Linked DNA regions of Rattus norvegicus. The protein of the gene in region 2 interacts with the protein of the main gene of each other region in a biochemical or structural test. Links are inferred from orthologs where the notes say so. Each region holds a gene or a part of one and is shown on either strand. Other genes may lie near its edges. The genes, in order: Fer, Erbb3 and Ptk6.

Evidence for each region.
Region 1: the proteins of Erbb3 (region 2) and Fer form a complex in vitro, tested with the Homo sapiens proteins (2 studies listed by BioGRID and IntAct, with this or other methods). The link is inferred for Rattus norvegicus from reciprocal best matches to the Homo sapiens genes ERBB3 and FER.
Region 3: the proteins of Erbb3 (region 2) and Ptk6 form a complex in vitro, tested with the Homo sapiens proteins (2 studies listed by BioGRID and IntAct, with this or other methods). The link is inferred for Rattus norvegicus from reciprocal best matches to the Homo sapiens genes ERBB3 and PTK6.

What each region holds. Positions count from the first base shown.
Region 1 is NC_086027.1:111,106,880-111,110,528, forward strand, and holds part of Fer (tyrosine-protein kinase Fer), read left to right. Parts: intron 1-2,719; coding exon 2,720-2,842; intron 2,843-3,649. UniProt on the Homo sapiens protein: Tyrosine-protein kinase that acts downstream of cell surface receptors for growth factors and plays a role in the regulation of the actin cytoskeleton, microtubule assembly, lamellipodia formation, cell adhesion, cell migration and chemotaxis.
Region 2 is NC_086025.1:1,597,567-1,601,244, forward strand, and holds the start of Erbb3 (receptor tyrosine-protein kinase erbB-3), read right to left. Parts: upstream 2,814-3,678; 5' UTR 2,692-2,813; intron 2,534-2,691; 5' UTR 2,348-2,533; coding exon 2,266-2,347; intron 107-2,265; exon of another isoform or gene 1-106. UniProt on the Homo sapiens protein: Tyrosine-protein kinase that plays an essential role as cell surface receptor for neuregulins.
Region 3 is NC_086021.1:188,690,781-188,694,529, forward strand, and holds the start of Ptk6 (protein-tyrosine kinase 6), read right to left. Parts: upstream 2,445-3,749; 5' UTR 2,154-2,444; coding exon 1,924-2,153; intron 1-1,923. UniProt on the Homo sapiens protein: Non-receptor tyrosine-protein kinase implicated in the regulation of a variety of signaling pathways that control the differentiation and maintenance of normal epithelia, as well as tumor growth.

The DNA.
Region 1 (3,649 bases), on a different chromosome or scaffold from region 2:
GAAGCTGGGAGGAAGTGGAGAAAGAAGCATACATTTTGTTGGGAATGTCAACTAGCGTGGTCATTGTGGAGATCAGTGCGAGGAGTCCCAGACAACCAGAGATCAGTGCGGTGCCTCCAAGACAACCAGAGAGGGAGCTGTGACATGATCCCACCCTGTGTCTTGGATCAGATGACTAATTGAAATGAAGAACGTGTTAGAAGGAGACATGTCCATGGTTTTCTCTACACTATTCAGAATAGCCAGGATGTGAAATCACCCAGTTGTCCAGGAGATATGTGAAGAGAAGGTGGTGGGGCACAGGCACCTGGGCACTGTTCAGTCACACAAATGTCATCAATCCTGTCAGGGCTAATAACACTGATATGCTAGGATAGTGCTATTAGGTAAAATAGTCCAAGTAGAAGACACTCGCTGTGTGGAAGCCTGGAGTTGTGTAGTCACTACAGAAGCTTTGAACAGCAGAGAGAGTAAAAGCAGGAGAGGTCGGTCCACGGGTACAGTGGTGCAGTGTCTGTATTGGAAACGGGAAGTCCTGGCTCTCATGGCAGAGTAGGTAGAGTTTAATGTACAACACTGCACTGTACACGTCAAATAGAAGGGTCTTACTGTACTCAGCATGAAGAAATGAGCGTCCGGGTGATGGAAGGCCCACTTCAGGTTACTTGGCACCTGACAGTCGTGAGTGAGAGCATCAGATTGTGGTGAATATGTGCCCAAAGCTTTGACCAACTGCATATTCTTTTTAATTAAAAAATGGAGAGAGATAGATATTGATCAAGTATCAAGTTCACTTTGAGGTAATTAAATGTACGAATTACTTAGATTCATTACTGCAGTCTCTGGGCTCTTTAAAGCTACATTTTAAATTCATGCTGTGGGTCTCCTTGTGTGCAGTAAAATGCCAACATATTTTTGCATAGCAGTTCCAAACTTGTGGCTTATCCTGTGTAGTTAGGATTATGTTTCCCATTGCACAGCAATCATTCTGACATCAGTAGGGCAAGGCAATAGCTACGTCATGTCATTTTCTACACCTCTAGTATACTGTCAGACTTAGCCATTCCGAAGCCTTACTTCCCAGGAGGTACTGAGCAAGCAACGACCTTTTTCAGGGCCAGCCTGGGGAACATGGCAAGATTCCGTCCCAAAGAAATCAAATCAATCAAACCAACCAACAAAGCGGCCCACGTTAGGCTTCCTTTGCTGCCTGCCATAGTATCATCAAGCTGAACCATTCTCTGTGGGGTTAGGTCAGAGGAGCAGGAGGGACTCAGATCCCTTTGAAGCCACATCTAGTGCAGCATATGGGGCCTTGAGAGTAAAGGAACAACCCAAAACACCGGGAGCATTCTCTTCTCTCTTTTATTTGCTTACACGACATTGATGATATCTTAATGCCTTTATATCCATCGATGTGTCTTCCTGTCCAAGAAGGGGAATGGACTGGTTTTATACCATGTTAGGGTGCTGAGAACCTCACAGGTATTACAATAATTTTTGTAAAATTAGTAATTCCAAATTTTGAAATGTTCTTAAATTAAGAAAGGGAAACAGAAAATCTAAGGTTTTATTAGGTAGTTGTGAAGTTCTAGGGATGCATAAGACTCAGAGTAGGGTGGATGTGAGATTTCATTGTGTGTGAACTTCACTTTGTTCGTTAAACATTGCACATATAACATCTTGTGCTCATGAGTGTGTGAACCATGTATAAACTGTTTTGTTCTCTTCACAACACTGAAGGCATTGTACGTCATTCACATGTTTCTTTCTGCAGGCCACAGACTGTACCAGACCACAGGGCTCTTATACTGAGTGATAAATAAATGAGTCTTTTGCCTACAGTGCCTGCAATCTACAAGGGAGACAGACAATACAAATCATAAGTAAACTTGGGAATGGAGAGATAGCTTCTGGACCTGAGTTGGATTCCCCCAGCATCTATGCTAAATGTCTCACACCCACCTGTAACTCCAGCCTGGGGCAATCCGCCACCCTTTTATGGCTTCTGTGGACACGGGGACACACACACACACACACACACACACACACACACACACACACACACACACACACTGAAATAACAAAGTACCTCTAAAAAGATACCAGGCTCTGAGCCTGCTGATCTCAAAGGCTTATCACTGATGCTCGTCTTTATTTCTTTAGCTTTATCTCTCGTGTGAATGATGTTTGCATCTTTATATATATCAGTGGTCCATTGAGGTCCTACTGTAGAAAAACCCATTGTATTAGCAAGTAAGAAATGAGTATCTTAGGTATTGTTTTATTAGACTCCCTCGAACCTTTGACAGTATTTTGGTACTGAAAGTTTATGGAAGGGAGCATACATGGAGACGTATGTAACGTCTTCCTTCTGCTTAAACGTGAGTGGGCACCTGCCTTATTTGCTTTAGTCACCATTTTCATACAATGCAGTTGAGCTCCATTAGCCTTTCCTCTTGCTATAATAACAATGTGAGTTATGTTTAGCCTGGAATTTTTTCTGAATTCCAGAATATTTGGCAGTAGATTGTTGAGTCTAATGTTTCTGTCTATTTTAATATTTTGCTATCTGTTAAGTTTGTAGTTGAGTATTGTTGTATATTTATGATGCTGTACACGGACAGCTCTTCTAACAGAACTTAACTTCTGGATAAGATCATTTTTTTTTCTGAAACAATGTCTTCCTGATAATTCTATGTTGTTGTTCTCTCTCCAGAATCTATATCGATTTGAGGGCACCGGCTTTTCAAATATCCCTCAACTTATAGATCACCACTTCAATACAAAGCAAGTCATCACCAAGAAGTCGGGGGTGGTTCTGCTGAATCCTATTCCAAAGGTAGGGCTGAGACCTTGTTTCTTTTATTTTTTAAAAAAGAATACTTACTTTGTTAGCATTTGTCACAGAAGAAAGCTTTTAGGGTATGTGCCAAAGTCAGGGACAAATTGCTTCTGTGAGCACCAGTAACTCCTGGCAATCTAGCTGAAATATAGACTTCCCTTAATTTTATGAAGACACATTACCTTTCTGCTCAGCGTTTGCTAGGATACAAATGGCCTAATTTGTTTTCTCTCTTTCCCAATTTATCTTGAAAGATGTGAGGATCATACTTTGAAAAGTTCTGGCAAAAGATTTGAGGATGTAGACATCAAGGAAGAGGTCTAGCATTTGGGAGTGAGTCAGAGTTTTAGTTTTGAGTGTAGGTTTACAGTGCGTTGAAAGCTTGGGACTGGTTAAAGCTTTACGTCCCTTCTCAGAAAATCTTCGCTCCCCTCTGAGGGGCCAGACCACTAGCTCAGAGCTCGCTTTAGACATTTTACCTGTGAGATCTATCGCGCACGATTCTTTGATGCACTAAGGGACTGTGAGGTCAGACTGCGCAGGGAGTGTTATGTGTTTCACACAGCACCTTAGGGACCTGGAGCACAGCGCAGCAGGGAGCCTGGTGGGCCTTTCAGCATGTTGACAGCTGGGGGAGCTGGGCTGGGAATGGCAGGGCTCTTTCTTTGAGGGCTGTGCAACATGAGCAGTGTACAAATGGGAAAGACATTGAAATTGGAGAGAGACTTGTATCCAGTTGATTGTTATAGATCAGTTCTGTGTTATCCTTCCCTTAGTGTAGACTCGTCCTAAGTTTCACTTCAC
Region 2 (3,678 bases):
CCCTGGAGCTCTTTCCTGTGGTGCAGTAAAAGCACATGGAGAGGAGGGTGGGGGTAAGGGGTACACCACCTGTTCTAACCACCCTTCCCTGAGGCGGGGCAGGGAGAGAGAGAGAGAGAGAGAGAGAGAGAGAGAGAGAGAGAGAGAGAGAGAGAGAGAGTCAGAAAGCCCAGTTTCTCTTGTTAGGTACATGTCTAGTTTGACCCCTTCTAGATCATCTTCCCTATCCTCTCTCCATGATGGAAAGAGTGGGCCAGTTCCAGCAAGAAGCTAGAAGCTCCCAGAGGAACCTGGGAACTCCAGGGTCCTTGGGCTGAAATAAAAGACTAGGAAGGTTAGTCATTTCTGGAACAGCCCCACCCCTGTCCCCTTCCTGGCAGGACACCCCTCTTCCAAGTTAAGGTGCCAACCCTTCTCAGATAGGGGAGGAGCTAGGATATCTGCACAGGGAAGTGATGTGTACCTGTGCGTGCGTGCGTAGTGTCACACATGTACGACTGACACACAAACATGTACACAGTTACCCTGGCACAGAAATAGATAGTGTTTGCCCTGGAACCCATACTCAGAAGCATTACAAGGGGCCAGTCCATCCTGCCTGCCCACAATGCCTTGCACACTTTGTGTCTTGTGCTTTGCAAAGCCCTACAGGGCTCAGTTACCTGCCACCCTGAGGGTAAAGTCCAGATCCCACAAACAGGGGCAAAGGGCGCAGGCGGACAGGACGGGAGCATAAACAACCACCCAGGAGGGACCAAGCAACCTGGGGATCACGGCAAGGAAGCAGTGAAAAATACCGGGTGGGGGTAGGGTGGACAACGCTCACAGAGGAGCAAAGGATCAAAGTCGGAGCCTTTCTCTGTAGAGAGTATTGACTGCACAGACCAAGAGCCTCCAGCCCCTCAGATGCCTCCCCTCTATTGCCACATACACAAGGGGACAAAGGGGCTATACAAGGCTTGAGACAGGGCCGGATGCCCAGAGGCTCAGGAGGAAGATAAAGGGTAGACAAGCAAGCATGCCTGCTCCCTGCCTCTTGAGGAGGGTGGTGGGAGTCCCGGACTCTTGGGTTCTGGTTGGTGGGGGCAGTCAGATGGAACTGTGTTCCAGTCACTCCCCTGGCCCTCCCCCCAGTCCCAGACCACCCCCTCCACCAGCTGGGAGTGTTCACATCTCAAGATCCCAGGGGCTAAATTTAGGCCCAGCAACTGTGGGGGAAGCACAGGTGGTTTCTCCCACTCCCACTCTGCGGAAGGGGCACTGACTGTGCCAACCCCCAAGCAGAGATCTTGGGGTGGGGTGGGGGGAGCAAGATCAACAGGACTCTAATTATACCAACTCCGGTGTTCTTCAGGTGTCTGTAGTCCCAGAGACACCCGTAGGAAAGGGCTCATATGGCACCGAATGGGGGGAGGGCACAAGTTGGGTCTGGGAGCCAGTTCACAGAATAGAATGTTCAGAAGGTGGGAGAAGTGACCTCAGATTGGAGAGAGAAATAGGTCTGATTGTCTTTTTCCCCACAGCCCCAGAATAGGGTATAATACCCTGGAAATAGTGTAGTGTGTAATAGATGCCCAACATGTTAACTGAATTGACCTGGGTCTTGATAAAGAGACGTTGGTTAAGTTGGGGGACCGGCTTATCTTATGGGAAAGCAGGCAGCCAGCTCTGTGAGACCTCTCACTGATGTCACCTGGACTTGGCCCTCAGGTTAATCTCAGCCTTCTCAGGACAGCCCCACTCACGGAAGAGGAGGTGCCACTCTTGTTTTTCCAACATTAGAAAACAACAACTTCCAACCCTTGCATAGCCCCGCCCTGTCAGCAAAACAACGAAACTGGGGGGTTGTTGAAACCTGGGATGGGGTGGGGGCCAGGGAACCTGAGAACAAACTGAGACCCTTCAAGTCAAGGCTCCTTACGTTTACAGAAGGGTCCCTGCCCGCCCTCCTCCCAAGGCTCTCAAGTGTGAATCTACTGTTCTTCATTAACCAAATCAGAATAAGACCAATTAGAGGGTCAGCGACGCCCTGGGAAGAAGGGTAGGCATCCAGGAATGCAGTCCCAGCCCCCAGAAAGCTCCACTCCAAGAACCGAGGCACACGGCCCCCTCCTTGGTGGTGCGAGCAGACCCGGTGTCGCACCCCCCCCCCACACACACTCCCCAGTTCAAAGAGTCAGTGCCCGAACTCCTTGCCCAGGGTCTGCGAGCGTTCAGGTCACACGCTCCCAGCTTCCAGACTTCTGGGGCTCCCGCGCGGCTTACCTGCCTGAGAGTTGCCCATCTCGGAACCCCGGGCCAGGCTGAGAAGGAAGCACAGCACCTGCAGAGTCCCAGTCGCCCTCATGATTCCAGCGGATGGTGAAGGGAGCCCTGCCGAGTCTGGCCCGGGGGCCCCAAGATTAGGAGGACATCGAAGCGAAAGCCACCTGAACAGCCAGCGAATAGGTAGCTGCGGCCGCAGCGGAGGTTGCAAACTGCAACTGGAGCCGGAGTCAGAGTCCGGAGCGGGGCGGCAGGGGAGGGTGTCTGTCTGGGAGGGAGGGACGGAGCGAAGGGGGAAGGGGGTGAGTCACGGCCGCGCCCCCTCCCGTGCGAGGCTGAAGTCCTGATGGTTGTAGCCCGGGACACCCGCCCAAAGGTGCTCCGCCAGCCCGCAGCCTGGCCAAGAGGGTCAAGGAGGGGTCTTACTCCAGCAATTCCCTCCGGAGATGGTTCAGAGGAGATCAAGATTCCAAACGACCCCAGGCCGGGGAAAGGTAGTGACTGCGGGTAAGGAGAGCGCTCCGAAGCCCAGCCCCCAGAAAGCTGGCCTCGCCCATTAACCAAATCACTCAACTCCCCTAGCCGGTTGGATCACTTGAGGGATTTTTTTTTTCCTTCTTTCGTAGTGTGAGTATTTCAGTTTTTTCGAGTGGGAGGTTGTTTTTTAGCCTAGCGTTCATGCCACCTCAGTTTCCCCGGGACGCAAAGCCCCGTAACTCATGTACCCAGCTCGGGAACCCGAGCCCCGGAGACCGCGTGAAATTGCACTGTCTCCGGCCGCTTCCTCCGGCAGACCCGGCGCCGGCTCGGCCTCTGGGGGGATTTGCCTGGGGGGCGGGGGCGGTTTCCAGCCTGGGAACAGACCGGGGAGTCCGCCTTCCCACTTCAGCCCGGGGAGGGGCTCCCGCACCTGTCGCCGTCCCCTCTGCTGCCCCCCACGGCCGCCCGAGAGAACAGCTGTCTCCGAGGGACCGACCGCGCCGTCCGGGCGGCCGCGGTTCCCGCCTCTCCTCCGCGGACCCAAAAGGGCACAGCAACGCTCACACTGGGAGACGACAGTGAGGAGGGGAGCGGAGAAGTCACCGCACATGGCCCACGGGACCCAGGGTTGCTGGGTCCCGGACGGGTCCGACTGGCGCCCCCTGGTGCCCAACCCCTTGCATTTCGCAACCCTTACATTGGCATTCCAAGATTTTGAGAATTTATTGTCCCCTCCCCCTGGGCGAAGACTATGGACTACAATCTTTTCTTTTCTTTTGTTTATTTTTTTTTTTTGGTTTTGAAACAAGGTCTCATATAGCTCATAGAGCTCAGGCTGGCCTCGAGTATATTATGTGACTGACACTGGTGTTGAACTCTGAATGGTCGATCTTTCTGCTTCCACCTCCCAAGTGCGCCATGTCCCCACTCTCC
Region 3 (3,749 bases), on a different chromosome or scaffold from region 2:
AGCCTTGGCCCAGAAGCAGGAGACAAGTCTCAACAGCAGCTCCCTGGTCCTGCCTCCTGCCTCATATTTTCACATACATGTGCATATAACCACATAGCCATTTGCACATGTGCACTTGTGTGCACAGACATGCACTGAAATACAAGTGCATGTTTGATAGATATTTTCCACACACAACTGTGCACTCACATTGCACTGACCATGTCCTCATGTTGCACACTTGTGTGTGTACCCATCCGTGCACTCACATTCTCATACTAACCCGAGCTTGCATACACTCTGATAAGCACGCCCTTATGTACATGCACAGACACGGTAGCCCCCATGCTCATACTCTCCCATTCAAAGCCATTTTATCATACTGGCTTCCAACCAAAGGGATGGAGATATGCCTGAACTGAACTACAGGTGAAAGTCCTTGGAATTCCATGGGTGATCTCTGCCCTCGGAGTCTCCAACTCCCTCAAGAGCTGTCAGATCATAGGCTCCACGTAAGAGTTTAACATCTAGGGCTGGAGAGATGGCTCAGTGGTTAAGAGCACTGACTGCTCTTTCAGATGTCCTGAGTTCAATTCCCAGCAACCACATGGTGGCTCACAACCATCTGTAATGGGATCTGATGCCCTTTTCGGGTGTGTCTGAAGACAGCTACAGTGTACTTATATATAATAAATAAGTAAATCTTTTTTTTAAAAAAAGAGTTTAACATCTAGCTCAAGCCCTTGAAGCCCACCTGCTCGGGTCCTGCAGAGTACAGAATCTGCCCCACTCTCCCCTCTGACCACTTTGCCTCCTCTGCTTTGCCCCTCCCCTCCTCTGACATGTTTGCCTGTGCTAGATTCTCAGGACCTCAGGGCCTTTGCCCTTGCTATATTGGCCACATGGTCTTTGTCTCTGTCTCTGTCTCTGTCTCTGTCTCTGTCTCTCTCTCTCTGTCTCTATCTGTCTGATCTCTCTCTCTCTCTCTCTCTCTCTCTCTCACACACACACACACACACACACACACACTCACACACACACCAGGCTGCCCTGGAATTTAGTGATAAACACCTGCCTTTACCTCCCGAGTGTTCAAGGCACCTGGCTCTCCTCATTCTTTTATGCGCACCACCCATGCCTACCTCACTTCTGTCTTGAGTCTCTGTCTCTGGAACTGTCCTAGGTACTATTTAGTATTCGTTTCTTGTTTGTGTGTTCACAATCTTCATTGAGCACCATAGGTACTCACTGTGAGATGAGGCATTGGGGGGGTCTCAAGAGCAAAACAGTAAGAAACCGCTGCTGCTGGACCCTTCATAGCCTTAGCCCAGAGCAACCTACGTAGCTTGGGTCCTTGGGTGCCTGTGAACATGCCCATACTAGTCACTATTGTAGTTCCTCAAAGCCTCCAAGGGCTCAGATATGTGGGAGGCCAAGAACAGTGGACTAGGGTGCCTCAGAGAACATGTAAACACTTACCACTGTGGTGTTTGCAACATATGCCCCCTGCCAGGTGATATAAATAGGTGTGCCCCAGCAGCCTTCTTTCTCCCTAGTTAACTAAGTTGCACATCTGGTTTTGGCTGTTTGGAAAATGAGCAAACTTCACACCCCCAACAGCTCTTGAATTCCCACACAGATCTTGTCCCTCACAGACAACATCTTAAAATTCCACATCAGGCCCCTCTGGACCCATCTGGGTCCTAGCAGAGCAGTACTTATGGCTGGGAAGTGATCATAGGTGAGTCCAAAATAGAGACCCTGTCCCCAAGTGTTGCTCAGAAGCATAGCCCCATCAGCAACACTGTGTACCAGAATGTTAAGGATCAGAGTATGACCAGCTGAATGTCAAGTAGGATCTTACACCCTCTGGCCTCCCCAGTCCATTCCAGTGCCCACGGACACCCACCCCTCCCTCTGTGCCAACTCCCCAGGGCCACTCACGGTTCAGACTCCACAGTTTCCTTCTCAGCCAGGTAGTTGTGGGGCACGTAGCCCTCAGCCAAGGCCTTGCCTTCCGCATCCAGCAGGGTGGCCCACCACCACTGTTCCTCCTTCCTGGTAACATGGAGGAGGTCTCCTGCCTGAAAGCTCAGCTCCTCGTCCGTTCGTGCTTTGAAGTCCCAGAGGCCCACATACTTAGGACCCAGGTGAGCCTTGTCCAAAGACACCATGGCAGGCTTAGTGGCAGAGCCAACTGTGGCCTACTTGTAGACACTTACTGCTGGGAGAGGTAGGAGGAACTTTTCCCAGAAAGCCAGTCACACCTACTTCCTTATGATGGGCAGGAGAGCAGCCACACCCGGCACTGATTGGAGATGGACTAACCTAGCTCCACCCTGAAGGCCCTTCTAGCCCCTGTTTGTTCTTTTATCTACAGGATAAGACCATGCTATGTGTTCACACTCGGTGAAAGCCTGTCAGCTAAACAACCCCTTGACAAGACCTAGCCACAGTTACACAGAATACCCTATTAGATGGGGAGCACACAGGTATCAACTGAAGCCTTGTCCCCTTGAGGTGTGAGTCTTGGAGCTAAAGGAAGGGGAGGGGAGCAGTGGAGGGAGATTTCAAAGATGGTGGGCAGGTTGCTAGAACAGAGTAGAGAGTAAAGCAATGGCTCTTCTACATGCAAACAAAAACAAACTCCCTTACACTGGCTGGTCCCTCCTGCCAAAGGAGAAAGCGTCCCCCTGAAAGACTTGACATTCATGACCGCCGCCTCCCTGAGCAGGTGTCCACCCTCTAGATGCTAACAGGACTAGATCTAGGCATGGTATCAAGGAAATCGGGCAGGGCATGAGTTGGAGACAAAGAAGAAACTGGTGGGGCTTGAGGGGGTGAGGGTTGCATGAGACCTGTGAACTTAAAGAACATACCCCAGCCTGAGCTTCTGCCACAACTCAGGTTCCTTGAGCTGAGGACATTCAGATACAGTCTATCCTGGAGAAGCCAGCCATGACAGCATGCTAGACCACAGCATGACAGCTGGAGAGCCAAAGGGAACCAAGGGGTATGAGGGCATGACCATCTGTGTGTGTCGTGAGCTGGGTTAGAATGCTTTCTGATATCTTGGAGATGTGTCTGTGGTCCATAGACCTCAGATCAAGAAGCAAGTATTGTCCTATCCTCCAGATAAGGACACAAAAGGGGCAGACACAAAGGGTGAGTAATGGCTAGGAAGGGCCCACACCACCAGGGCCTCTACAGCTCCACCACCCTCTTTCCCAGGTTTCCCTCCTGCTCTGCGGCCCCCAGGGTCTCTCTCTCTCTCTCTTTTTTTTTTTTTTTTTGAGCTGGGGACCGAACCCAGGGCCTTGCAGTTGCTAGGCAAGCGCTCTACCACTGAGCTAAATCCCCAACCCCCCCCCCCCGGGCCTCTTTTAATTCACCTCCCATGCTACCCAATCCCTAGTAGCCCTACTTGTGACTGTTCCAGTCTGTCCCTCCTCCTCCTGTTGAACCTTGAGAGCTCCAAGGATTCCCTGTCTCCAGAGTGGCCCTGGCAACCCTTCTCACTCTGGCTGATCCTGTTGTGTTCATGATTGGGTGATCCTGCACACCCAGGACGGGAAAGGAAATTGAAAAGTCTATAAGGGTGAGTGACCTGGGAAATAATGATTTTTTTTTCTTTTTCTTTCTTTTTTCTTTTTTAAGGTGGGGGAGTGCTGTGGTGGTGGTGGGAGTGGGGGTGGTGGTGGGGGATGCTACTTCATGCTGAGGATCAAATTCTGGCCCACATGTTGAATGAATGTTCTACTTCCGAGAAC